7 linked regions of the Macaca mulatta genome follow. The protein of the gene in region 3 binds, or shares a complex with, the protein of the main gene of each other region. Links are inferred from orthologs where the notes say so. Each region holds a gene or a part of one and is shown on either strand. Other genes may lie near its edges.

The links.
Region 1: EFTUD2 (region 3) and SNRPF share a complex: the UniProt entries of both Homo sapiens proteins name them as parts of the minor spliceosome. The link is inferred for Macaca mulatta from reciprocal best matches to the Homo sapiens genes EFTUD2 and SNRPF.
Region 2: EFTUD2 (region 3) and CRIPT share a complex: the UniProt entries of both Homo sapiens proteins name them as parts of the minor spliceosome. The link is inferred for Macaca mulatta from reciprocal best matches to the Homo sapiens genes EFTUD2 and CRIPT.
Region 4: EFTUD2 (region 3) and CWC22 share a complex: the UniProt entries of both Homo sapiens proteins name them as parts of the minor spliceosome. The link is inferred for Macaca mulatta from reciprocal best matches to the Homo sapiens genes EFTUD2 and CWC22.
Region 5: EFTUD2 (region 3) and SNRPD1 share a complex: the UniProt entries of both Homo sapiens proteins name them as parts of the minor spliceosome. The link is inferred for Macaca mulatta from reciprocal best matches to the Homo sapiens genes EFTUD2 and SNRPD1.
Region 6: EFTUD2 (region 3) and RNF113A share a complex: the UniProt entries of both Homo sapiens proteins name them as parts of the minor spliceosome. The link is inferred for Macaca mulatta from reciprocal best matches to the Homo sapiens genes EFTUD2 and RNF113A.
Region 7: EFTUD2 (region 3) and SNRPG share a complex: the UniProt entries of both Homo sapiens proteins name them as parts of the minor spliceosome. The link is inferred for Macaca mulatta from reciprocal best matches to the Homo sapiens genes EFTUD2 and SNRPG.

Annotation. Positions count from the first base shown.
Region 1 is NC_133416.1:103,187,286-103,191,358, reverse strand, and holds the start of SNRPF (small nuclear ribonucleoprotein F), read right to left. Parts: upstream 2,801-4,073; 5' UTR 2,679-2,800; coding exon 2,676-2,678; intron 700-2,675; coding exon 574-699; intron 1-573. UniProt on the Homo sapiens protein: Plays a role in pre-mRNA splicing as a core component of the spliceosomal U1, U2, U4 and U5 small nuclear ribonucleoproteins (snRNPs), the building blocks of the spliceosome.
Region 2 is NC_133418.1:78,211,129-78,213,726, reverse strand, and holds the end of CRIPT (cysteine-rich PDZ-binding protein), read left to right. Parts: intron 1-827; coding exon 828-931; intron 932-1,218; coding exon 1,219-1,283; 3' UTR 1,284-2,098; downstream 2,099-2,598. UniProt on the Homo sapiens protein: As a component of the minor spliceosome, involved in the splicing of U12-type introns in pre-mRNAs. Involved in the cytoskeletal anchoring of DLG4 in excitatory synapses.
Region 3 is NC_133421.1:69,256,213-69,259,712, forward strand, and holds part of EFTUD2 (116 kDa U5 small nuclear ribonucleoprotein component), read right to left. Parts: intron 2,426-3,500; coding exon 2,390-2,425; intron 1,344-2,389; coding exon 1,253-1,343; intron 358-1,252; coding exon 275-357; intron 1-274. UniProt on the Homo sapiens protein: Required for pre-mRNA splicing as component of the spliceosome, including pre-catalytic, catalytic and post-catalytic spliceosomal complexes. Component of the U5 snRNP and the U4/U6-U5 tri-snRNP complex, a building block of the spliceosome.
Region 4 is NC_133417.1:84,908,053-84,911,552, reverse strand, and holds part of CWC22 (pre-mRNA-splicing factor CWC22 homolog), read left to right. Parts: intron 1-2,710; coding exon 2,711-2,879; intron 2,880-3,265; coding exon 3,266-3,319; intron 3,320-3,500. UniProt on the Homo sapiens protein: Required for pre-mRNA splicing as component of the spliceosome. As a component of the minor spliceosome, involved in the splicing of U12-type introns in pre-mRNAs. Promotes exon-junction complex (EJC) assembly.
Region 5 is NC_133423.1:70,786,568-70,790,067, forward strand, and holds part of SNRPD1 (small nuclear ribonucleoprotein Sm D1), read right to left. Parts: intron 2,536-3,500; coding exon 2,459-2,535; intron 874-2,458; coding exon 682-873; intron 1-681. UniProt on the Homo sapiens protein: Plays a role in pre-mRNA splicing as a core component of the spliceosomal U1, U2, U4 and U5 small nuclear ribonucleoproteins (snRNPs), the building blocks of the spliceosome.
Region 6 is NC_133426.1:126,364,799-126,368,082, forward strand, and holds RNF113A (E3 ubiquitin-protein ligase RNF113A), read right to left. Parts: upstream 1,858-3,284; 5' UTR 1,643-1,857; coding exon 608-1,642; 3' UTR 501-607; downstream 1-500. UniProt on the Homo sapiens protein: Required for pre-mRNA splicing as component of the spliceosome. As a component of the minor spliceosome, involved in the splicing of U12-type introns in pre-mRNAs. E3 ubiquitin-protein ligase that catalyzes the transfer of ubiquitin onto target proteins.
Region 7 is NC_133418.1:54,435,747-54,440,022, forward strand, and holds the start of SNRPG (small nuclear ribonucleoprotein G), read left to right. Parts: upstream 1-1,476; 5' UTR 1,477-1,564; coding exon 1,565-1,596; intron 1,597-1,712; exon of another isoform or gene 1,713-2,043; coding exon of another isoform or gene 2,044-2,051; intron 2,052-3,238; exon of another isoform or gene 3,239-3,339; coding exon of another isoform or gene 3,340-3,386; intron 3,387-4,276. UniProt on the Homo sapiens protein: Plays a role in pre-mRNA splicing as a core component of the spliceosomal U1, U2, U4 and U5 small nuclear ribonucleoproteins (snRNPs), the building blocks of the spliceosome.

The sequences.
Region 1 (4,073 bases), on a different chromosome or scaffold from region 3:
TTAAAAATGGTTAGAGTGGCAAAATTGTAATGTATATTTTACCACAATAAAAAGAAAATTAATTACAAAAAAAACCCCACCAAAACACATGGCTGAATCATTTACAGAAACTCATTTGACAGACATACAGTCAGTTCAATTTCTTCGGCAGATGTGTCTTTCCCCTGAAGGAATGAATTTCCTCAATAACTTTGGTGTTGTGCCTTTAGCATCATTCATTAAAAGACTCATGAATTTCACTTGAAAACTTTCTTTCAGGGCTAAATGATGAGAAATGTTTTGTTTTCTCCAGCAAAGTAGTGTGTTTCCCTTACAGTATTATTATGAATTAAATGTCTGAGCTCTTCTTACTTTAACTACTAGGAATAAAATCTGTGGCTGAATTCTGGTTTAAGTCCATGTCTTGTACCTAGTATATCATAGTATCCTCCCTGGCTTTGACTTTATTTTTTAATTTTGCCGTACATTTGTCAATTTAATTGTATGTATTCTTATTAGTCAGACTAAACCTTTGAGCAATAAGGTGAAGCAAACTAAATGCAATGTTATGACCTTTACAGCTCTTTAGCTTACCTGCATGTTCATGTAGCCATCTACAGATACCAGATAGCCCTTGTACTCCATTCCCCACTTAAGTTTCACCATCACTGGCTTTCCTGTTAGTCCATTGAGGAAAGGTTTGGGATTGAGGGGTAAACTCTGCACAAAGAACAAAAAAGGATCCAATTAATTATTTTTCCTCCCACCACCAACTCTCTTCTACTAAATACCAATATTTTGTGGTATGCAAATGAAGAAAACTCTTGACTCATTATTTTAGTACACAATTTTCACTTTCATTTATTGGAGAGTACCAGGGAAATTTAAATATCCAGTTAGCCAGTATCACCTTTAACCCATCAAAACAAAATACTCACTATTCACTTAAGATAACACCGACTACATACATCACTTACTGTTCTGAGCTCTAAAGAAACAAAGATAAAGGCACTTAAAAAAAAAAAAAATGCGGGCCAGAAAGGGTGGCTCATATCTGTAATTCCAGCATTCTGGAAGGCCAAGGCAGGGGGATCACTTGAGGCCAGAATTTCAAGACCAGCCCAGGCAACATAGTGAGACCACCTTCTCTACCAAAAATAGTCAGATGTGGTGGTGCACACCTGTAGTCCCGGCTACTAGGGAACAGAGCAAGACCTTGTCATAAATAAATAACAGAGTCCCTGTCAAGAAGTTGGAGATGGGGAGGGGGGCTCCTCACATACAAATAATTATACTGCATATTGCAACATAATAAGAGGAGATATACTAGGCACAAGGGTACCGAAGCAATCCAGGGAAAAAAGGAAAGGTTGCCTGAAATAAGTTAACCTCAGTTTTAAAGAATGAGAATTTATTTCCAGAGCGGGAAAAAATCCTGTTCCAGGCAAGGCTAGCTACTTATGTAAAAGGAGGGAAGAGTGAAGCAACAAGGTGATTTTGGGGACATACAATTCAGCATTGTCAGTCAAAGTCCCAAATATAAGACTACAGAAGGAAGCAGAGGGCAGATGACGCTTGACAGTCTTTAACTGTGGAAGCTAGGGCTAGGTCCTAAATGACTTTGTCACTAGCACTGCCTCTTATAGCAATCACTTAAAGTTTGCTCAGCAAACCATTAACATCTCCAGTGAATTCGGTTTTTGCCTTTTTCTGCTCACTCACCAGTCAAAGAAAGAACAGAACTAAGAAACTTGGCTACTAACCCCCTCTAACATAAACATATTCGGAGTGACTTGATGCGGCGATTACTCCAATAACCTAATGGGTCTCCAGTTTTCATTCTCCAATTTATTATCCACCACAGCAACATGATTTTTTAAAGTGCACATCAAATTGTCATATTTCTGCTTAAAATGATTCAATGGCTTCCAACTCAATCATTTTCAATTGATTTGGAGTACAATCAAAACCTCCCAATACAGCCTAAGAGGTCCTGTCCAACGCCTGCTCCTCCGACACCATCTCGTAACCACTCTTCCTGCAAGTGGCTGTACCTTTTTGTCAATTTCTCCAACTGACCAAGCTTTCTTTCCGGCCGCAGGTCTTATGCGCCTATTCTCTGTGCTCGGTACACTCCTCCTCCTGCTCTTTAAAGGGTCTATTTCATGACACTTAGGCTTCAGGTTAAATTCCACCTCCTAGGGAGGCCATCTCTGACTAAGCCTCTAAATGTCTAACGCGCACCCTCACAGCCTCCTGTCTGCATTCTTCTTAGCACTTATTACTTGCAATTGCATATTTGTTATTTTTTGACTGTCTGTCTTCCCCAACCGAGTTAAACTAGAGCATGGCCGTATCATTACTTTCATGCAATGAAAGTGAATTTTGGAGTGTGGTTAAGTGGGAAGTGCAAATTCTCTTTGAGTTTTACCCCGACCCTGTAGCCACAAATAAGAATATCCCAAGCCCGGATTCAAACAAAGAGGAGAAGGCACGGGCACTCCTAGAAAAAGAAAGGCATCGGGAGGAGCACGCGCCTCAGAAATCCTAAAAGCAGAGTGAAAGAAGCTGGCGACCGGGTGCGCGGCGCCTCACGCGGATGAATGGGAAACGCGCGAAGCAACCACTAGGCCCCGCGAGGTGGTCTCCCTCCTTCTCTTTCTCCCCGCTTCTCCCGCCGTTCTCGTTCTCCTTACCATCGTAACCACGGCCGAATATTGCAGGCTACTCACTGCCGACCAGGCTGCCGCTTGTCCCTCGTGACTACAGCAGGTACCCCAGGTCCCGAGCCGCTGAATTTCAAGAAAAATGGCCGCCAAACAGGAGTGTGACCTTTCACCTCCCACCACGGCCCTTCCTGCCTCTGTGATTGGACGAAAAGAGATGCGCGCTGATTGGAGGAGATGGTTGGACCAGTATCTCCTGGCAACCAGCAGCGGCTTGAGTTTGCGCCTGGCCGGCTGCGCGCGGGTCTTGGGAAACCCGCTCTGAGGAGCAAGGTGAGGCAGCCAAGGACTGGAGGCAGGCCGGTGTTGTAAATGTGCGGTCTGGGAGAGGCTGTGTGACGGATGTGACTTCTCCCCAACTTGGTTAATGGGGATTTTACTTTGTCTTTTTACACCCGTGAGAATGTTCAGGATCCCAGAGTTCCTTCCTCACTCTTCCAACAGGTTCCATGATTTGGGGGCGCCTCTGCCGCAGGCCGTTTCTACCTGAGTATTCTCTCTTCTGCAACACCCATTTCAACCCCTTTTAAAGGAATTCGGGGGTAGCCAGACAAGACTAGGGGCGGTGAAACGCACCGAAGGGAGTCGGATACAGAATTTATTTTAAACGAGGTCAGGTTGTGTCTGGGATACGGTGTCATGTCCCCCCACCCCCCACGACCCCGCCGGCCCCATCTTTCTTTTGCATCGCCAGCAGAGACTGGCACGGCCTTCTTACGTGCATTTGAAATTACCTAAGGGCGTAAGCAATATTTCCGCTGTCACGGATTAAAACTTTCGACGTAACGGTGTTATCTGAATCTCACTGGTTTTTGTCGTAATCCTAGTGAGTTCGGCTCACTCTGATCTGAAATGCTAAATGCAGTTCTTGGAGAACACGCCCTTTGGGAAGTAACGCTTTTTTGCGGCCCTGAAGAGATGGATTTGAGGTTGAGGATGAAATGTTGGTTGTTGAGGCACTGTGGAGCAGTGGGCAAGACTTTGGAGAGGGCCTGCATTCGGAACCTGCGTCTATCAGGCGCAGCCGGTGTTGGGCAGTGTCTTAACCCTCAGGGCCACTGTTTCCACGGCAGGAACGCGGCTTTAAAAACGGAACCATCCTCAGCGTGGTTGCGAGAATTTAACCTAAAACGGGGCTTGGCCTTGTAAAAGCTCAGTGTTTCACATAAGTGTTGAACACTGACAAGACAGTCATTGTCAGTGTAGTTTTTACCAAACAGTTATTAGATTTATTCACCCTAAACTTAAGTGGATTTCTTCCTTAGTTTGTATATTGTTTCATGAACTTTAAGTCTTTGTACAGACTTTGAGTTCCTACTATGTGTCAGGCTCTTTCAACAATTGTGGAAATCTTACCTTACCGTCTGA
Region 2 (2,598 bases), on a different chromosome or scaffold from region 3:
GAGGATCATTACAAAAACTCATTTTGTAGTTAGGGAAGCACAGTTAAAGCAGAGTATTATTGCCATTTTAGGGGGAAGTATTTCTTTTTTTCACTCCAGTTACTGTAAGATGGCATTTTTATATAGTAGAAGCCCTTTTATCTAAAAGGATTGAGTCAGTTAATTAAAAATGTCAGCTAATGTAAGCAGTCATTAAAAGATACACATACCTTATTTTAACTTAAAGCACATAACTGTAGATGTATTAATCATATGGTATTGAAACAAAGCCTTTTGAGCATAAATCAACTGATAAGTGCTCTACATGATTGTCGTCACAAAAATCACAATCAGAATATGTTCAGTATCTTTAAAGTGGAGCAAAAATTGATGCTTGAGGTATGGAGTCCTTTCCTAGTGATTTTCCCCCAGTTGTCAACAGTTGTCTTACCCATACCTAATTCAATAGCAATTCCGATTATTCCTGGTCGTCCTAAAGTAGTCACTTAGGTTTTATGGAATCAGTCACTCTTTTTGCACCGACATTTCATCAGTTTCCATAATATTTTTGTCACACAAATAGAATGACAGATACAATTGATACGAACACGTCAAGAATAAATTCTGTACAACTGACTATAAGTATATATCTCACATGGACGGAGCAGAGCAGAGATGTACAGGCATATCAGACAGTAGCCATCTGGAATAGGCTAAACCCATCAATTGTAGAGGTTGATGGAGGGATGAAGAGCATGGATTAATCCTGTGTGTTGCGTAAGTGGGGTTATTTAAGAGTGTGTTTCTAGTGTAATATACAATTTTCTCTCATTAAAAAAAATTTCTAGATTTGATCCATATGGAAAGAATAAGTTCTCCACTTGCAGAATTTGTAAAAGTTCTGTGCACCAACCAGGTTCTCATTACTGCCAGGGCTGTGCCTACAAAAAAGGTAAGTTTCTTTTAATACCTTTTTTCTATTCATAAAACCTACTTCATTTGCTGCTAATTTGGTTAACAGAAACGATGTAGCCTGTCATAAATTCTGTTAACCAAACACTCTTTATCCTAAGGCAAAATGGGACGTAAAACCTGTTTATAATTAAAAGTATATATATATATATATATTTTTTTTTTTCTCTTCTGATGCTGTTAAATTATATTTTAAGCTTCAGGATTGACTTAAACCAAACAGTTGGTATTATGATTTGATTGATCACGTATCTTCTTTTGTTTCAGGCATCTGTGCGATGTGTGGAAAAAAGGTTTTGGATACCAAAAACTACAAGCAAACATCTGTCTAGATGTATTGATGGAATTTCTGACTTTCTAAATGATTTTACTTTCTGCCTTGAATTTTCAAGGCATAGATGTCAACTTACAGAATAACGTGTTTTAAGACAATTACGTTTAAACCAGAGAATTTGATTGTTATTCATTTTGCTCTCATGCTCTAAACAGCAACAGTGTAACTAGTCTTTTGCCGTAAATGGTTTTTTCCTTATGAGCATTTTATTGAACTAAGTGGCAAATTCCATGAAAAATTTCTCAGTTCTGTATGCACTTTAAACATTATTCATGTAATTCTCCCCCACACACACTTTATTTATAGATACTGCAAAAGTGAGAAGGAGGTAATAGATATTTTGCTCTGAATTTGGCATCCAGAGTTAACAGTTCTCCCCTAACTCCCTTACTCGTGTCATAGTTATTAGGATCAGCAGCCTCTTAACTAATTGCAGTTTCATAGGATGTATAAATGTTTCAAGCCATTATTGCTGAATGGTTCTTTAGTTATTAACCTAGACCCAAATCAAAGACCAGTTTTTATTTGTTCTTGCCGCCAAAGTGCCAGTTCCTTTAATATGTGACCAGGAACACAAGGAATATCCATATATCCAAATAAACACACTGAATTTTAGAAAAACTTATTACTTTGAATTCAAATTGTCATGAAAACCAGAACAGTGTTTGTCCATGTTGCATGTAATGAACATAAATCCCTGCTCTTTGAGAAAAGCTCTTTGAAGCAAAAACCAAACTTTTTGTTTTTTTACCTCCTGTCTCCCTCCCTAAAAGAAATAAATAAAGCAAACATCTTGACTCTCCCTTTTTAAAATTTGTTTGTTTGTTTGTTTGTTTGATACAGGATCTCACTCTGTTGACCAGGCTGGAGTGCAGAGGTATCATCAAGCTCTCTGCAGCCTCCATCTGCTGGGCTCAAGCAATCCTTCCACCTTACCCTCCTAAGTAGCTGGGGGCTACAGGTGTGTGCCAGTGAGCTCAGCTAGTTTTTATTTTTAGTAGAGACGAGGACTCGCTATGTTGCCCAAGCTGTTCTCAAACTCCTGATCTCAAGCAATCCTCTGGCCTCAGCCTTCCAAAGTGCTGGGTTACAGGTGTGAGTCACAGCACTTGGCCTCTCTCTCTCTCTCTTTTTTTTTTTTTTATACTACAGGTTTCAAATGAGTACTTTTCTTATGTTGCCTTCAGAGGTTCAGGACTTCTGCTTTTAAAATCTGCAGGCTACCATGGGAGACCAAAAAAGCATTCCCCATTTCCAACTGCAGTATGTATAAATACGTATCACTATAAAATGTGTAGAATAGATAGTGTGAT
Region 3 (3,500 bases):
TTTTGCCATGTTGGCCAGGCTGGTCCTGAACTCCTGACCTCAGGTGATCCACCCACCTAAGCCTCCCAAAGTGCTGGGATTACAGGTGCGAGCCACCACACCCGGTGAGAATTAATTTTGAACTTCATTTGCTGCTTTAATTTTAGAGCAAATTTGAGCCTTAATCCTAGAGAGTTTCAAGGTTCTCTGGCTCCCAGCTCACTTAGCGCTCTGGGTATTGCGGGGGGCAAACATAACAGGGTGGATGAGATTCTGGGAGCTGAGTCTGACTCACCCCCTCGGCAGCATCAATGAAAAGAACCACTCCATCTGAGATGCGCAAGCCAGCTGTGACCTCATCAGAGAAATTCACATGTCCTGAAAAGCAAATACTAAGTAAGTCATCACTTGGTGTAGGATAAAGCACAATTAACTGGTACGGTGAACTGAGGGGGCACTTCAAAGCCTGTGAACCTCCAAATACCCCCTTCCCCTCCTCGCCATAACCCGCTGCAGGACAAAAATATCCCCCATTAGAATCATATCCTTGCATTATGCTTTTCTACGGGAGGCTCCCTACCTAAAAAGAGGGAAGTGCCCAGGAGAGCATGAGTCCACATCACACACCAGCTTAGCCTAATCAGCAGTGAGCAGAGATCTGTGGGACTCAAGACAATCTGGAGGCAGGAGAAAAGGCAAAGGAGGGCCTGGAGCACAGTGTGCTGTTCGAGGAAGGCAGTTCCTGCCGAGGTGCTATAGGGGCAGGGGCTGAGAGGTATCAGGACACTGGGCATCAGATGGTGCCAAGAAGGCAAATCAGCCAAAACCTAAAACCTTTCAGTTTTTAAAAACTCTGCCCCAGTTGGTCCTTCCAATAGGAGGAAGAGTCAGCCAAGGGGTCCTGTTCCCAAGGTCATCTGTATGTTCACCAGTCTCCTTTGAGAGTACTCGAGGCCAGGAACTGGGTCTGACTCACCTTTAGCTCCCCAGCAGATAGCATGGGGCCTGACGGGCTGAAATGAATAAATGAATACGATTCCCTAACATTTTTACATATTCAAAAGAGTAAAGACATGAATAGGAGGCCTGAAGTACGATGCTTGCTAAATTAACAGCCAGAAACAAAGGGGAGAGTCAAAACTGAAAATGGTGTCAATGAAGGTGAGGGAATGTAAAAACAAAGATGCACTGCTCTGTTCTGCTCTGGAAAGTGAGAGGACACACGCAAAACCAAGACAAGGTTCCAATAATCAAAAGCCAAAGGATGTCCTACCTGGAGTGTCCATGATATTGAAGAGATAAGATTTTCCTTTGGTGTCTGGCAAGACCACTGTCACAGGAGTGCTTTTGATGCCTACACCTCTCTGAAAGAAACAAAGAGTGGTCAAGACCTCTTCCTATGCAAGAGGGGTTCATTTTGCTTTTGGGGCTCCCCAATTGCTACTAAATTACACTGATGGCTCTCCTTATGGTGGGTGATTTTTATCTAGGCTTCTAGCCAGCATGACCTTGAAAATAAAATATCTTGGTGTTAGATAGCATTTTGGGGGGGCTTGTTTCAAGTATGAAAAGATGAAAATGAATTACTGCAAACAAAACAGTATTAAGCCCTATCAGAGAATCCAGGGTCCTAGAATCTCATCCTCTTTATACATGAGAAACAAAAATAGCTGAGCACCTTGAAAGTAAAAAGAAACAATCTGGGGTATTTTAGTGTTTTTTTTTTTTAAAGAAATATAAAAGCTATGACAGGAATAAACATTTGTTTAAAATTCCAGTCAAACAAATATATAAATGCATTATAAAACAGTAACAGCTAACACTAACTGCCTATCTATCTTTACTAATTCCAAGTGCCTTTAGTTAACCATACTTATTTATACTTAAAACTTCCATTAGGAAAAAGGGACAGAAATAAGAGGGGGGAAAGAGAAGGGGTCAGAGAGTAGAGAGAAAGATCCGGATGGAAAGACAAAAAGAGGAACACAAAGATATAGGAACCCATTTTCAAAGAGAAGCTACTCCTAGAAAGAGGTCATCATATGGATGGAGTCATCCTGCGGATTTTTAAAGGATGACGTCATTTAAAAAAAAATCACGTTGAGCTTCTGCGTAACTTAAAGCACAAATGCAGACATCACCTCTTAGTATTTGCCCTATATTAGGCCAAATTTAATCTAGTCAAGAACAGGAGGGTCCCCCTCCCAACCTACAGCTTGCCTACCCAGTTCTTTTTAAAGTTATAACCCTGGAGTAACTGGAGGAAGAAGGAGATGGGATGTGAGAAGTGAGGAGAAAGAAGTAGAGTACGAACTAAAATGCTATCATAAAGGCTCCTCTACATTCCCTACAAAACTATTACTGGGGGGTCTGGTGTAGGCAACAATCTGATTCCACAAGGCATGCTTACCTCTTGCTCTGTGAAGAGGATGTCAGTATAGCACAGCTGAAAAAAATTAACTGTTGTTACCACCTGAGTTCAGACTCCTCTCCCACAAACGAACCATCAATCACTTTCCCTCACCACCTCCCAGCTCAAGGGTTTCTTTGAGATTAAAGAGAGACAGAGAGCAGGGTGTCCCCACAGCAATTCCAGACAATGAGACCAGTGCCCTCCCAGCTGGAAATGCTCCTGGGTGTGTGGAGGGATTTTTTTATTTTTATTTTTTTGGAGACAGAGTTTCACTCTTGTTGCCCAGGCTGGAGTACAATGGCGCAATCTTGGCTCACTGAAACCTCCTTTGCCTCCCGGGTTCAAGAGATTCTCCTGCCTCAGCCTCCCAAGTAGCTGGGATTACAGACGTGCGCCACCACGCTCAGCTAATTTTGTATTTTCAGTAGACACAGGGTTTCACCATGTTGGTCAGGCTGGTCTTGAACTCCTGACCTCATGTGATCCACCCAGCTCGGCCACCCAAAGTGCTGGGATTACAGGAGTGAGCCACCACGCCCGGCCGGGTTTTTCTTTTTGGTTGTGGTTTTGTCTTTTTTTGAGACAGAGTCTCACTCGCCCAGGCTACAGTGTAGTGGCGTAATCTTGGGTGACTGCAACCTCTGCCTCCCAGGTTCAAGCGATTCTCCTGCCTCAGCCCCTCGAGTAGCTGGGACTACAGGTGCACATCACTGTGCCCACCCAGCTACATTTTGCATTTTTAGTAGAGATGGGGTTTCGCCATGTTGGCCAGGCTCGTCTCAAACTCCTGACCTCAAGTGATCCTCCTGTCCTGGCCTCCCAAAGTGCTGGGATTACAGGCATGAGCCACCGCTCTTTTTGAGTTGGGGGAGGTCACTAAAGACCAGGTATAGCTGAGAGCTAATTTATATCAAATGCACAGAATTCTTAGCATGGTAAAAGGAGACACATGTCAGCCTTCATGCTAGAGTGTTAAAACAATCAATCTGGCAGGGATTGAACATTTATTGCACTGAGACTTGCAGCCACAGTTGGCCTCATTCACAGGCATTTAAATTTACCATGAAAACCAGGTACAATTGTATCATATTTATAGAGCGGGCTATTA
Region 4 (3,500 bases), on a different chromosome or scaffold from region 3:
ATTTTGGATATTAACCCCTTATCAGGTGTATGGTTTGCAAATGTTTTCTCCCATTCCGTAGGCTGTCTCTTCACTCTGTTGATATTTTCCTGTGCTGTGCAGAAGCATTCTAGTTTTTATGTAATCCCATTTGTCTCTTTTTGCTTTTGTTGCCTGTGCTTTCGGGGTCATATCCAAAAAATCATTAACCATAATACAGTAGTTTCACAGTTTCAGGTCTTATGTTTAAGTCTTTAATCTATTTTGCATTGATGTTTGTATATGTTTTGGGACTAAGGTCTCTTTTCATTCTTCTGCATCTGGATGTTCAGTTTTCTTGGCACCATTTATTGAAGACACTGTCTTTTCCCTATTGTGTCTTCTTAGCATCTTTGTTGAAAATCAGTTGACTGCAAATGTCTGGATTGATCTCTGGTTTCTTTGTTTTCTATAGCTCTCTGTGTCTGTTTTTATACTAGTGTCACGCTGTTTTGATTACTATAACTTTGTAGCAGATTCTAGGTCAGGGAGTGTGAGGTCTCCAGCTTTGTTCTTTTTGTTCAAGATTGCTGTGGCTATTTGGAGTTTTTTGTGGTTCCATGTGAGTTTTAAGATTGTTTTTTCTATTTCTGCGAAAAATGTAACTGGAATTTTGATAGGGATTGAGTTGAGTCTTTATGTTGCTTGGGTACTATGGACATTTTAGTATATTATTTCAGTCCATGGACAAGGGATGTCATGCATGTTCTTCCATTTTTTCATCAGCAGTTTGTAGCTTTTAGTGTACAGACCTTTCATCTCCATGGTTAGATTTATTCCTAAGGTTTTTTGTTTTTGTTTTTGTTTTTTTTATAGTTATTGTAAATGGGATGTTTTCTTGGTTTCTTTTTCAGAAAGATAGTTCATTGTAAGCATATGGAAGCACTACTGATTTTTATATGTTGATTTTATGTCTGCAGCTTTACTAAATTAGTTTATTAGTTCTAACAATTTTTTGGTTAAGTCTTTAGGGTTTTCTATATTAAGATCCTGTTTACAGCAAACAGACTTCTCTATTTTTGATTTGGATGCCTTTTATTTCTTTCTCTTGCCTCATGGCTCTGGCTAGGACTTCTAGTACTATGTTGAATAGAATTGGAAAGAGTAGGCACCCTTTTCTTATTCCTGATCTTAGAGGAAAAGCTTTCAGCTTGTCACTGTTGAGTATATTAGCTATGGGTTCATCGTATATGGCCTTATTCCAATTTAATTTCTAGTGAGAGTGAAGTGGGAATGTGAGAGAAATGGGAAAGATAAGCAATAAATTTGAGAAAAGCGGAAAGGAATCACCATGTTCTATAATATGTGGTTTTAAGCAATTGGTGATATTTAAAAGGGTCAGAAAATAGAAGTACTCCATGTTCTACTTATTATTTTAAAATCTGAGGGCTGTTTTCTCTTGTCATTTTACATGACTATGATTCATCTTTTAAAAAATATGGAATTTAGTGGCCAGGCATGGTAGCTCAATGCCTGTAATCCTAGCACTTTGGGAGCCTGAGGCAAGAGGATCACTTGAGTCCAGGAGTTTGAGACCAGCCTGGGCAACATTGTGAAAACTCATCTCTATGAAAAATACAAAAATTAGCTGGGCGTGGTGGCACGCAGTACTCCCAGCTACTCTGGAGGCTGAGGTGGGAGGACTGCTTGAGCCCAGAAGGCAGAGTTTCCAGTGAGCCAAGATCAAGCCACTGCACTCCTGCCTGGGTGACAGAGTGAGACCCCGTCTCTCCCCAACCTCACCAAAAAAGGTGGTGGTATAAAGTAGGTGCAGCGAGTTGTAGAGGTACAGAAAGGTGATCAAGAGACAGCCATTATCCATAAAAGTGGGCAGAGATCTCTCCATTTTACTTACAAAAAAAGTAGACTCAGAAGACTTAATGGATTGCTAAAGATATTATAATTTATAAGCTGCATCCTTTTTCTCATTTTCTACTCTAGTGATTCTGTTGTTGTATCTAAAACTACCATTAAGACTTTTTTTTCCTGACTTTTGGCAATCCAATAATTACTTGTCATTACATTGCTAAAAATAACTTCAGTTTGCCCAATTTGCCTTTCCCCTTCCTCATCAAATGCATATAGAAACATGACCATTTTCAAAATGAGTTACAAGTAGGTACCTTTTAATTTCCTGTTATTGTTTTAGCATTAATCTTGCATTGCTTTTAATTCATGTCTTTATTTCTCACAGGAATTTTCCAAATCTTCATTTTATTCAACTAAAATTAGACTTAAAGATTTAAACCCAAATTTGTCTTTAATCACAAAATTAATTTTATAAGAATGACGGATTCATAGTAGAAACTTTATGTTGTCTAGCTTTCGTACTTTTGAAGCAGGTCTGCTTTTGTTTACTTTTTTGAAAATGTTGAATTTATTTATATGAACCTTAAAAACCTCAAATTCATGATTTGATATAACAGACTGGGAAAAGAGGAATTATATGTAGAGAGAAAAATTTTGGCGATAAATTGCAGCAAAATCTTCATTCTATTTTACAAAATTACAAATTCACATTTCATTTTCTGAAAAACAATTTTTATTTATTAGTAAGGTGAACTCTTTCCATTTAGTTCTGATTTAGATTTTATGATTATTTATAGAGATGTATTACTGAATTTTAATAGTTTTTGTTTCATTTAATTCATTTGGTTATTGTTGACTCCTTTTTTTATTCTTTTTTAAACAGAGGACTGCTCTCCAGGTCTGTTTTGCAAGCACAGAGTGCTTCTCCAATCTTCACCCATGTTTATGCAGCATTAGTGGCAATTATCAACTCAAAATTTCCACAAATTGGAGAATTAATCCTCAAGAGGTTAATTCTTAATTTTCGAAAAGGCTATCGAAGAAATGATAAGGTATATATGAATGGCTTGTAGGTAGAATGATACATAGGAACAGACTAATAAACCAGTATCAACAAAAGTAAGCAAGGTTGATTTTGACACAGGTACATAACATAATGCTTTTTAAAAACTGTCTTTCATGAGAACTTCTTTATTCTCTTAAATATCCCTGGCCACTATTGATGAGCCACAAAAATGATGGCTCTAACTGTAGAATTTTAACTGTTTAACCAGAAGTGATACTCTTTCATGTGTTTTATCTTATAACTTTCTGGTAATACAAAAATTATACTTGTGTGGTACATGTTTTAAATAGATTGTTAGTAGGCCATAGATTAATGTAAATAAATGAAAATTGGGTTTAGTTTATGGATTAACTCTCCACCTTCACTTTTCAGCAACTTTGCCTGACTGCTTCAAAATTTGTGGCGCATCTTATTAACCAAAATGTGGTAAGTAATTATCTTCAATACTTGTTCGCATTCAGTGGCATTAGACCACAGGGTTGATGCCACCTCACTGATACCTCTCTATTTTTGCTTTGCTTTATAGTCCTTAGGATAAATATGTTGAATGATATTTTCATTTGAAAACTATAATAAACGTATTTAATATTCTTTTTTTTTTTCTTTT
Region 5 (3,500 bases), on a different chromosome or scaffold from region 3:
CAATATAACTATCTACAAAGCATTTACATTATACTGGGTATTACAAGTGTACAAAAGGATGTGCAGAGGTTAGATGGAAACACTATTACCATTTTATGAAAAGGGACTTGAGCATCTGTAGATTTTGGTACCCACAGGGGGTTCTTGCAAAGTGGAAAGCAGCATGATACACAGCATGAGTGAGAGGTTAAATCATTGTTTTTCAAGCTATGGATTACAACCATATTATTATTATTATTTTGAAACAGAGTCTCACTCTGTAGCCCAGGCCGGAGTGCAGTGGCATGATCTTGGCTCACAGCAACCTCCGCCTCCCGGGTTCAAGTGATTCTTCTGCCTCAGCCTCCCAAGTAACTGGGACTAAAGGCATGCGCCGCCACGCCCAATTTTTTTTTTGCATTTTTAGTAGAGATGGGATTTCTCCATGTTGACCAGGCTGGTCTGGAACTCCTGGCCTCAGGTGATCTGCCCGCCTCGGCCTCCCAAAGTGCTGGGATTACAGGCGTGAGCCACTGTGTCCAGCCGCATCAATGTTTTTAATAGCAACACCAGGAGTTACAATACACATTATAGGAAATATTAAACAACAAAGACACTTGTGTTGTTTGCAAATATTTATATTATGAATAGTGTGGATTAGGATTAGCATTCACAAAAATTTTTATAATCCTTCAAACTTACCAGCTTCCCTTTTCTTAGATTTCACCTTAGGTTCAACATCCACAAGTAGTGTATCCAGAGGTAAACTGTCTGGTAGAATAAAATACCGAATGTTATTTCCTCGAATACTCAGCGTTTCCAGCTGTACAGGTTCTCTGTTCTTCAGGGTCATTTTCACAGCTTTAAGATGTGTATTCATGCTGACATCCACACCTAAAAAGAAAAATAATTGGGCAGTTATTAGTATGATAAAAGTCAGGCAACTAATTAATCTACTGAGCCACAGTAAATACTGGACTACAAAAGAATACTGTTCTGCTACAGTGCAAGTTTTCTATGACATAATTTAGCACATATGCAACTGGTAAATGGGGGAATAACGTCAGTATAAATCAGCAGTGTTTCCTTCCTAGAGATTTTTCCTAGCACACTAAGTTTTGCTTACAGAAATGAATGCAGCAAGCAATGGAAGAACCCTGACTGGGCTTCAGGCTCACTACTGATCTGACAGGTATTTCTTGAATGTTTCTCTCACTGTCTTTGTGACTTTCTCATAATCCCCATTCCACTAAACTATCCTCACCTTTGTTTCTGCTTCTCTCTATATGTAATAATTGTTACCACTTTTGTTAAGAATATTTTGATTACAAAGTTACACAGGCTTTTAAGTAGTCTGCAACACCTATTCTTCTCATTAAGCTACTATTTTTAGTATGAGAGTTTACAAAATACAAAGCAATTTTTCAGGGTGATTATATGACATTATAGCTGAAACACCTGAATACTGAAGCCTTTACCAAATTATACCTGAACTAATGGGATAACTAAAGACCTACTTAGGCCAGGTTCGGTGGCTCACGCCTGTAATCCCAGCACTTTGGGAGGCCGAGGCAGGCGGATCAACTGAGGTCTTCTGACCAGCCCGGTCCAGTTCAAGATCAGCCTGGCTGACATGCTGAAACCTCATCTCTACTAAAAATACAAAAATTAGGCCAGGTGCAGTGACTTGACTCACGCCTGAAATCCCAGCACTCTGGGAGGCCGAGGTGGATGGATCATGAGGTCACAAGTTCGAGACCAAAACCCCATCTCTACCAAAATTAATCAGACCCTGGAGGCGGAGGTTGCAGTGAGCTGAGACTGTGCCACTGCACTCCAGCCTGGGCAACGGAGTGAGAATCCGTCTCAAAAAAAAAAAAATGTACCCAGGCATGCTGGCAGGCACCTGTAGTCCCAGCCACTCGGGAGGCTGAGACAAAAGAATTGCTTGACCCCAGGCAGCGGAGGTTACAGTGAGCCGAGATCATGACACTGCACTCAAGCCCAGGTGACACAGCAAAACTCTGTTTAAAAAAAAAAATAGGCCGGGCGCGGTGGCTCACGCCTGTAATCCCAGCACTTTGGGAGGCCGAGGCGGGCGGATCACAAGGTCAGGAGATCGAGACCACGGTGAAACCCCGTCTCTACTAAAAATACAAAAAATTAGCCGGGCGCGGTTGTGGGCGCCTGTAGTCCCAGCTACTCAGGAGGCTGAGGCAGGAGAAGGGCGTGAACCCGGGAGGCGGAGCTTGCAGTGAGCCAAGATCGCGCCACTGCACTCCAGCCTGGGCGACAGAGCGAGACTCCGTCTCAAAAAATAAATAAATAAATAAATAAATAAATAAATAAATTACATAATTCAGACAAAAGAATAAGAATCTGTACTACAATAACGTTCATTAAGCAATCAAAAAATAAACTCTGGATAGCAGGTAAAAGAGAAGAAAAAAATGTTATAAAAGTAGTCCAACCTCCGTACCTGTGATTGTTCCATGGACCTGTGTTCCGTTCTTCAATTCAATGGTTACAGTTTCATGACTCAATTTCATCAAAAATCTATAAATAGGAATAAAACCATTACTTTTTACCTGCAACACTTTAAAATCACATTTATTTATTTTATTTTATTTATTTATTTATTTTTTTTGAGACGGAGTCTCGCTCTGTCGCCCAGCCCAGGCTGGAGTGCAGTGGCGCAATCTCGGCTCACTGCAAGCTCCGCCTCCTGGGTTCACGCCATTCTCCTGCCTCAGCCTCCCGAGTAGCTGGGACTACAGGCACCCACAACCGCGCCCGGCTAATTTTTTGTATTTTTAGTAGAGACGGGGTTTCACCGTGGTCTCGATCTCCTGACCTTGTGATCCGCCCGCCTCGGCCTCCCAAAGTGCTGGGATTACAGGCGTGAGCCACCGCGCCCGGCCAAAATCACATTTATTAAGGTAAAAAGATGAAACAACTAGACGCTGAAAATTTGTAGATGCTATCTGCATCAATTCCTATCAAGAATATGCTAACAATTTCAGCTTTCCTGAATCATATCCTCAACCTTTATGAAGGAACACAACAATACTAACATGAACTGTCATTTGGACGTTTCTAATTCTCAAACCTCAAATCCAGACATACAAGATCTCAGACTCATAAATCATGAAAAATAAAGAATTACAGTTGGTAAAAAGATTACAAGTTTATTACAATATTTATATATAAAGTAAAAATCTCCCTTCCTAACCCCCTGCACTGTGGGTATGTAGGAATATTATTCCAGATCATTTTATATGCACATTCATAAGCATATATACAGATTTCTTTTTACATAAATTGGGTCATATTTTATTCACATCTGTAACTTGTAGTTCTCGTTCAGCAGTTTATATTGGACATATTCCCATTTCAACATACAAAACACTCTAAGAACTGAGACTGGGTACAGTGGCTCATGCCTTTAATTCCAGCGCTTAGGGAGACCGAGGTGGGCAGATCATCTGAGGTCTGGAGTCCAAGACCAGCCTGGCCAACAT
Region 6 (3,284 bases), on a different chromosome or scaffold from region 3:
AGGGGAATCGCTTGAACCCGGGAGGCGGAGGTTGCAGTGAGCTGAGATAGCGCCATTGCACTCCAGCCTGGACAACAGAGCGAGACTCCGTCTCAAAAATAAATAAATAAATAAATAAATAAATAAATAACCCAGACAGCAAGGAACATTTCCCATATGTGAAGCCTGTGGTACTAGCTACCAATTCCCCAAACGCAACCCCTCTCCCCAACACCTTGGCTCCGGTATATTTTGTAGTACAGGCTCCCAAGAGAAAGAATGCATGAAAGTACTTTGTAAACCATTAAGTGATACAGAAATGTGATATGATAAACAGGCTCAGAGTTCTTACTTTCGTCATAGCTTTGGCTACTTCAAGCAAATTATAGCTCTTTTCTCAAACTACTCCCACCCCTATAATTGATGCCAAAATGTTCTGAAAAGAAACACAGGCAAAATGGTTATCCTAGGGCTAAAAATCCTGATTATACCTACCTTGAGGTTTTTAATCCAGGACCCTACTTCACCACCCGCCTTCTCTGTCACTGTCTCTACAAAGGAAGGACACGAATTAAGACTTCCAAAAGAACAAAATATTTATTTTTTAAATTTAAGAATTATCAGACAGCTAAGTAACGGGAATTGGATCCTCATCGGGGTCTTCTGGCAAGTCGGAAGCACCACCACCCTCTCCTGTAGCTCGATGCTTCTCTAGTTTAGCAATCAATTCTTTCGCTGGATTGAAGACGCCATTGGTCTGCTGGTCACAGACATAGCAGCGCGGGGTGGTGCGGAAATGCTGCAGTGCACAGCTCTCGCAGAAATAATGCCTGCACTTGGTGACAACTGGGTTTTGGAAGCTCTGGCGACAGATGAAACACTTGAATGGTATTTCCTCATCATCGCTTCCCACTTCATAGTTTTCATCCTCATAGACACCATAGCGACCCTCATCAAGCTCACGTTCGATCTGCCACCCATGCTTGTAATCTGAACGGTCATGGAGGAATTTGCAGCTGTCTCCGAAGCCGCAGAAGCCAGTCTCTTTGTAGTCCTTACAGATGTCGGGCTGGTAATCCCAGCGCACCGTGGCACGTAGATGCTCGGGCGCTCGGATGGGGCCCTTCCTCACCATCCCGGAAGAGGCATTGCCCATAGACGTATCCTTGGGCTTCATGTATTTCTGATAATTGTTGATTCCCCGATAGATCTTGTCATCCTCCTTGCCCCTCAGCTCCTCCTGGATCTTCTGGCTGCGCTCAAAGATGGCTTGTGCATCGCGCTCTTTCTCTGTGTCCAGCTCATAGACAGCTGTCGCCCCCATATCCTCTGGTCCCACGGGTTTCGCCGAGCGGGTGGATTTATAAACCACGCCGAGACTCTCGGGCTCATTTTCCTCCTCCTCCTCGCTGCTCAAGTCGCCGTAAGCTGCCTTCTGTTTACCACTGTCACGAGTCTTCTGTATCATTGGATTGTGAGTCGCCCGCTTCTTTTCCGGTCGAACCACAGTGCAGCCTTCGTCGCTACTGCTGCCGCTGTCTCCGGGCTCTGGGTCGCAGGCCGGGCGCTTTCTGCGTCCAGCAGCCCCTTTCCGCCCAGGCTTTTTGAAAAGGAAGGTGCACACCTGATCCGCCGTCTTCCCTGGAGAAAACTGCTCTGCCATTTTAGAGTCCCGAGCTCCGAAACGGCCGTCGCTGCCTGGGTTGCACTTGGCCTCTGCGCGTTACTCCACGTCGCGCGCTCCGCCGGGAGTCGAAGCAAAAGACACTGACGGAAGAGAACTGCGAGAGCGCGAGCGCCAGCCTCTCTTGAGCCCTGGCAGATCCCGTCGCTTCCTCCGGAGCCGTACGTGGCACCGCCCCGCTCGCGGGCGGCCGCGGGGCTTACTGGGAAGGGAGCCGAAGCCCGGTCACCTTTCAAGGACCCAGAAGTAGGGTTTTGGCCTAGATAACGGGGCAGAGATGTGGTTCGAGATTCTCCCCGGACTCGCCGCCATGGGCGTGTGCTTGTTTATTCCAGGACTGGCTACTGCGTACATCCAGAGGTTCACTAACGGGGGCAAGGTAAGGCGGCTTCCTGGGCCCGGGGGCTGACTCCACTGGCTGATTTCTGAAAAGGATGGTGGGCAGAGAGTCCGTCAGCCTGCGGACCCTCTCTCCGAGGCCGGCCCTCTATTTTCTTCCGGTTGCCTAGAAGCCGAGGCTTGCGAAACGAAGCGCGGTAGAAACCACATCCTGCTCTGGTGAAAAACAGCGTTTCTGGGTGTATCAAAGTGGGCCTTAGGGCAGAGTAGCGACGCGGGGGCCGGAAAGGTAGATTAGAAGAGGTGGCTCAAGCCTGAGAATCCCTCACTGCAACCTCCGCCTTCCGGGTTCAAGAGATTCTCCTGGCTGGGCGCGGTGGCTCACGCCTGTAATCCCAGCACTTTGGGAGACCGAGGCGGGCGGATCACCTGAGGTCGGGAGTTCGATACCAGCCTGACCAACATGGGGAAACCCCATCTCTACTAAAAATACAAAATTAGTGGAGCGTGGTGGCGCATGCCTGTGATCCCAGCTACTCGGGAGGCTGAGGCAGGAGAATCGCTTGAACCCAGGAGGCGGAGGTTGCAGTGAGCCGAGATCGCGACACTGCACTCCAGCCTGGGCAACAAGGGCGAAACTCCGTCTCAAAAAAAAAAAAAAAAAAAAAAAAAGATTTTCCTGCCTCACCCTCCTGAGTAGCCGGGACCACGCCCGGCTATTTATTTATTTATTTTGGTAGAGACGGGGTTTCATCATGTTGGCGAGGCTGGTCCCGAACTTCTGACCTCAGGTGATCCACCCGCCTTGACCTCCCAAAGTGCTGGGATTACAGGCGTGAGCCGCCGCTCCCGGCCACCCTTGACTTTTTTATTCCCCACTTTCTCTTGCAAGCGTTTAGGAATTTACTGCAAGGTCTTGTGTTTTACATCAGGATTCATTTTCCCCTCTTAGCCCTTCACATCATCTCTAGAGTACAGAGTATAAATTTATTTACTTTTTGAATTTGTGATTGTCCACGTGTGATCTACAGCTGTTGTTTCTTAGTGTCCCAAAAGGCAACAACTAGATATTTCTTTTTTTTTTCTTTTTTTTAAAAAGGAAAAGAAATTCATGTTGGTTAAAATAGTGTAAGAAGTCACGGTCACCAACTTAATCCTAAAGTGTAGTGGTCTGATTTTATTTAGGAGATTCTGTTCTTGTACTACTAATTTGCATTTTTATTTGAATGATGATTCCATTTCTCTAGAATGTCCCTTCTAAAAATTGTAATATCCATCAACT
Region 7 (4,276 bases), on a different chromosome or scaffold from region 3:
ATCCGTGCATTCTCCTATTTTGGGGTAACATAACTGGGAACAAGTCCGAGGCCACTTTTTACACATCTTGACATGAAAAAGGAATACCTTGTATTAGAGAATGTTTGTGTGCTGCACTTCACGTTTTATATACGGGGCAATGGCACATCAGTGAGTTCTGGAGGTAATGTTTGAAAAATTGCAGAACTGCCAGGCATGCTGGCTCATGCCTGTAATCTCAGCACTCTGGGAGCTGGAGGCAGGCGGATCTCTTAAGGCCAGGAATTCGAGAACAGCCTGGGCAACAAAGCAAGACGTCGTCTCTACAAAAAAAAAAAAAAAAAAAAAAAAAAAAAAAAAAAATTAGCTGGGTGCAGTGGCTTGCGCCTGTAGTCTAAACAACTCAGGAGGCTGAGGTGGGAGGATTGATTGAGGCCAGGGGTTCGAGGTTGCAGTGAGCCATGATCACATCATGCATCCCAGCCTGGGTGACAGAGCAAGACCTCATCTCAAAACAAAAAAAAATTTTTTTTTGCAAGACCCATCAGTCGGAAATAGATTGAAATTCTTGGAGACAGGCCCAGTCACCTTACTCTCCAAATGGTGCAGAGGCTGCTAATTTGCATGTTACCGGAACCCTACTTGGTCTGAAAGTATGCTGTAGGATACCTGCCAAAGAAATATAGAGGCCCGGCTGGGCGCGGGTGGCTCACGCCTGTAATCCTGGCACTTTGGGAGGCCGAGGCGGGCGGATCATGAGGTCAGGAGATCCAGACCATCCCAGCTAACACAGTGAAACCCCATTTTTACTAAAAATACAAAAAATTAGCCGGGCGTGGCGGCGTGTGCCTGTAGTCCCATCTACTCAGGAGGCTGAGGCAGGAGAATGGCGTGAACTCAGGAGGCGGAGCTTGCAGTGAGCCGAGACCGAGCCACTGCACTCCAGCCTGGGGGACAGAGCGAGACTGTCTCAGAAAAAAAAAAGAAATATAGAGGCCCATTCCTCCAGGGATCATTATTTGGTATTTTGGTTTAGATGAAGAAAACAAGCGATACGATCCACAGACATGCGGGATTTGCCGGGTTTGCCCAGAAGTTAGAGAGGGGACTGTTATCTCAGTATTTCAATTTTATTTTTTAAATAGAGGAGGGGGTCTCCCTATGTTGCCCAAGCTGGTCTCGAACTCCTGGGCTCAAGAGATCCAAAGTTCTGGGATTTACGGCGCCAGGCTTTTTTTTTTTTTTTTTTTTTTTTTTTTTTTTTTTTGGCTGTTCCATAGACAAGAACACGGATACTCCATCGTCAGAATACCCGTTATCTCAATTTTGCCCAAGGAAAACCGAATTTAGAAAGGTGCCTAGAGGGCCCACCCCTCTGTCCTGGCCAATAGCTGACGACGCAACCGGAAGCTCAGCAATGACCGAGGCGCTCAGATATCGCGATGTGAAGTGTTAAAAACTGCCAACAATCGATTGGCTAACTAGGTCGATGACGCCAAACGCAAGACGCCGGGCCTACCGCGGGAGCCTGAGGGAAGCCGTGCATTCAGTTCCAAGGCGTCTGTGAGTCCGCGGAGTATACGCCATGAGCAAAGCTCACCCTCCCGAGTTGAAAAAGTAAGTATGTGTGAGAGCCAAACCGAAGTGGTCGCTTCTTTGCGTCCCCCGAGTCCCTTGGTGTTTCAAGCCGAATGGCTTGAGCCGCTTCACCTTATTTCTTCTTCCGGTCCGAGGTCGCCGGCATCCCGGCCAGGCTCCGGCTCATGAGACGTGAAGCCCGCGCAGAGCTCGCGCATTGGCGTGGTTACCGCCGGCAGCCACCGCACCTCCTTCTGGCCGACTAGTCTCTCTGTCCCGCGCTCCGGCCCCTAGTCACCCGGCGCTGTCCCTCGTTCCTTGAAGATCTCCAATGCCAGCTTTTGTTGAACATCTCTAATAGCATCATATTCTAGATAGACGGCTAGAGGGGGAAATTCTCTAAAGGAACTAAGGAGGGGATGGAAGGGAAGTGTTTTTAAAACTACGTGAGGCATCGGAATCCAAAAGCCACTTTAGCCTTAGAGAATGTGTTTGTAGGTGTTTCTTTGAGCTTTTACTTAGAAACCTCATTCTTTTTTGTTGCCTATTTTTACATTAAGCTTGAATGTCATGTGTTATCTTGCTCTGATATTGAAACTATGTAAGAACATTCATTTCTAAAATTAATGTTCTAAAAAATAAAATTTTTTTTAGAACATTAATTTTTTTCTAATCAGAGAAGGCTAATTTTTTTAAGTTTCTTTTACACACCCAGTAAAGACAAACAACTTTAAGGAGGAGAGCCTTAATTTATGTAGGACTCAACGTAAAACTTTAAACTCCTCAAATACTTTTTGACTGGACTTAACAGGTTATGTGTTTCCTCAGTACGTCTCTGTTTTGCTTGTACTCCCTGATGCTGGAATTCTACATGTATTTATTGGATTGCACAGAGGATGCAAAATTTTTACAGGAATCAATTTTTTCTGGTGTAGCATGTGGTTGGCTTTGTGTATAGTTCATTTATTACCAGGCCCCTGGAAGTCAGACATAAGGAAAAGTTCCTATTTAATAATTTTGCGGCCAGTGGCGGTGACTCACGCCTGTAATCCCAGCACTTTGGGAGGCCAAGGTGGGTGGATCACCTGAGGTCAGGAGTTCGAGACCAGCCTGGCCAACATGGTGAAACCCCCCGTCTCTACTAAAAATACAAAAAATTAGCCAGGAATGGTGGCACGCGCCTGTAGTCTCAGCTACTCGGGAGGCTGAGGCAGGAGAATCGCTTGAACCCGGGAAGTGGAGGCTGCAGTGAGTCAAGATCTAGCAATTGCCCTCCAGCCTGGGCAACAAGAGCGAAACTCTGTTTCAAATAATAATAATATTGCATTTAAAGGTATATTTGTATCAAAGCCATCTTTTGTATGAAAACTACTTTCATGTATATTTTAGTTAGGTCTGTTAAGGAATTAATTATTAAAACATAGCCCAACGTTAGAAAAATAGAAGTTAGAAATTATTGTGAAAATTACTCTTTTTATCTGAAAGTTATTTTATTGGTGAGTTGGTGATGTAAGTATCCTCTGGATTCATCAGGGACTGGTGAAATGGTGATTTTTCTTTTTTTAAACAAAAGCACCATTCTCTACTTGTAATCTAAGATTTTATTTGTGATTCATAACATAGTTTTTGAAAATTTCAGAGAAGGAAGCTAGTTTTAATACCTTTCTCTTCTCATCCATAGGTTTCATGAATTGTGAAATCCCGTGAGATCTGCCGTCAAAATGACTTTCAAATTTTTTCTTTCTTTGCTTTCTCACTGATAGCATCTTCTTTTACACCATTATGCCCTCCTTCTGGCTTAGCGTAACTCAGGGGTTCTTAAATGGGGGGTAAGGAATCTGGTGACACCAGGGATGCTGCTAAACATCCTACCGTTATTCGGCTGCCCCCAACAATACAAAATTACCTGGTCCCAAGTGTCATTAGTGCAGAAGTTGAGATACACTGGCTTAACCGAATTCTTCCTTCCACTTCTTAAAATTTGCTGCCACAGTGGTCTTGCCAGTGACAGCTTTAATAATTTATCACAGTATGCAAAACTGAATCTATACTTAAGCCAGCATTCAAACGCCAAACCTTACAGCTGCTAATACTCACGTGTTCTCTTCTCCAGTCAGACTGAACTATTTGTGTTTGCTCTCACTTGCTGTGTGACTTCGAAAAATTGATTTACCTTTTCCAAGCCTAGTTCTCCATCTGTAAAAACGGTAGAAATGACAGACCATAATTGCATGCAAAGTCATTGTAAAGATTGTATAAGATCTTGTGTTATATTTGATATGTTTTATGTATCTTATTAAAATAGTTTTGTTCATCATACTTCATAAATGTGTGTATATATTATATATAATATGTAATATATATTACATATATAATTTTACATATAATATTACATATATATTACTTTTTTTTATATATATACATATATATATATATATATTTTTTTTTTTTTTTTTTTTTTTTTTTTGAGATGGAGTTTCACTCTTAATTCCCAGGCTGGAGTGCAATGGTGCAATCTCGGCTTACCGCAACCCGTGCCTCCCGGGTTCAAGCAATTCTCCTGCCTCAGCCTCCCGAGTAGCTGGGACTACAGGCATGCACCACCACACCCGGCTAATTTTTTTTTTTTTTTTTTTTTTTTTTTTTTTTTTTTTTTTTAGTAGAGACGGGGTTTCTCCATGTTCATGTTCATCAGGCTGGTCTTGAACTCCCGACCTCA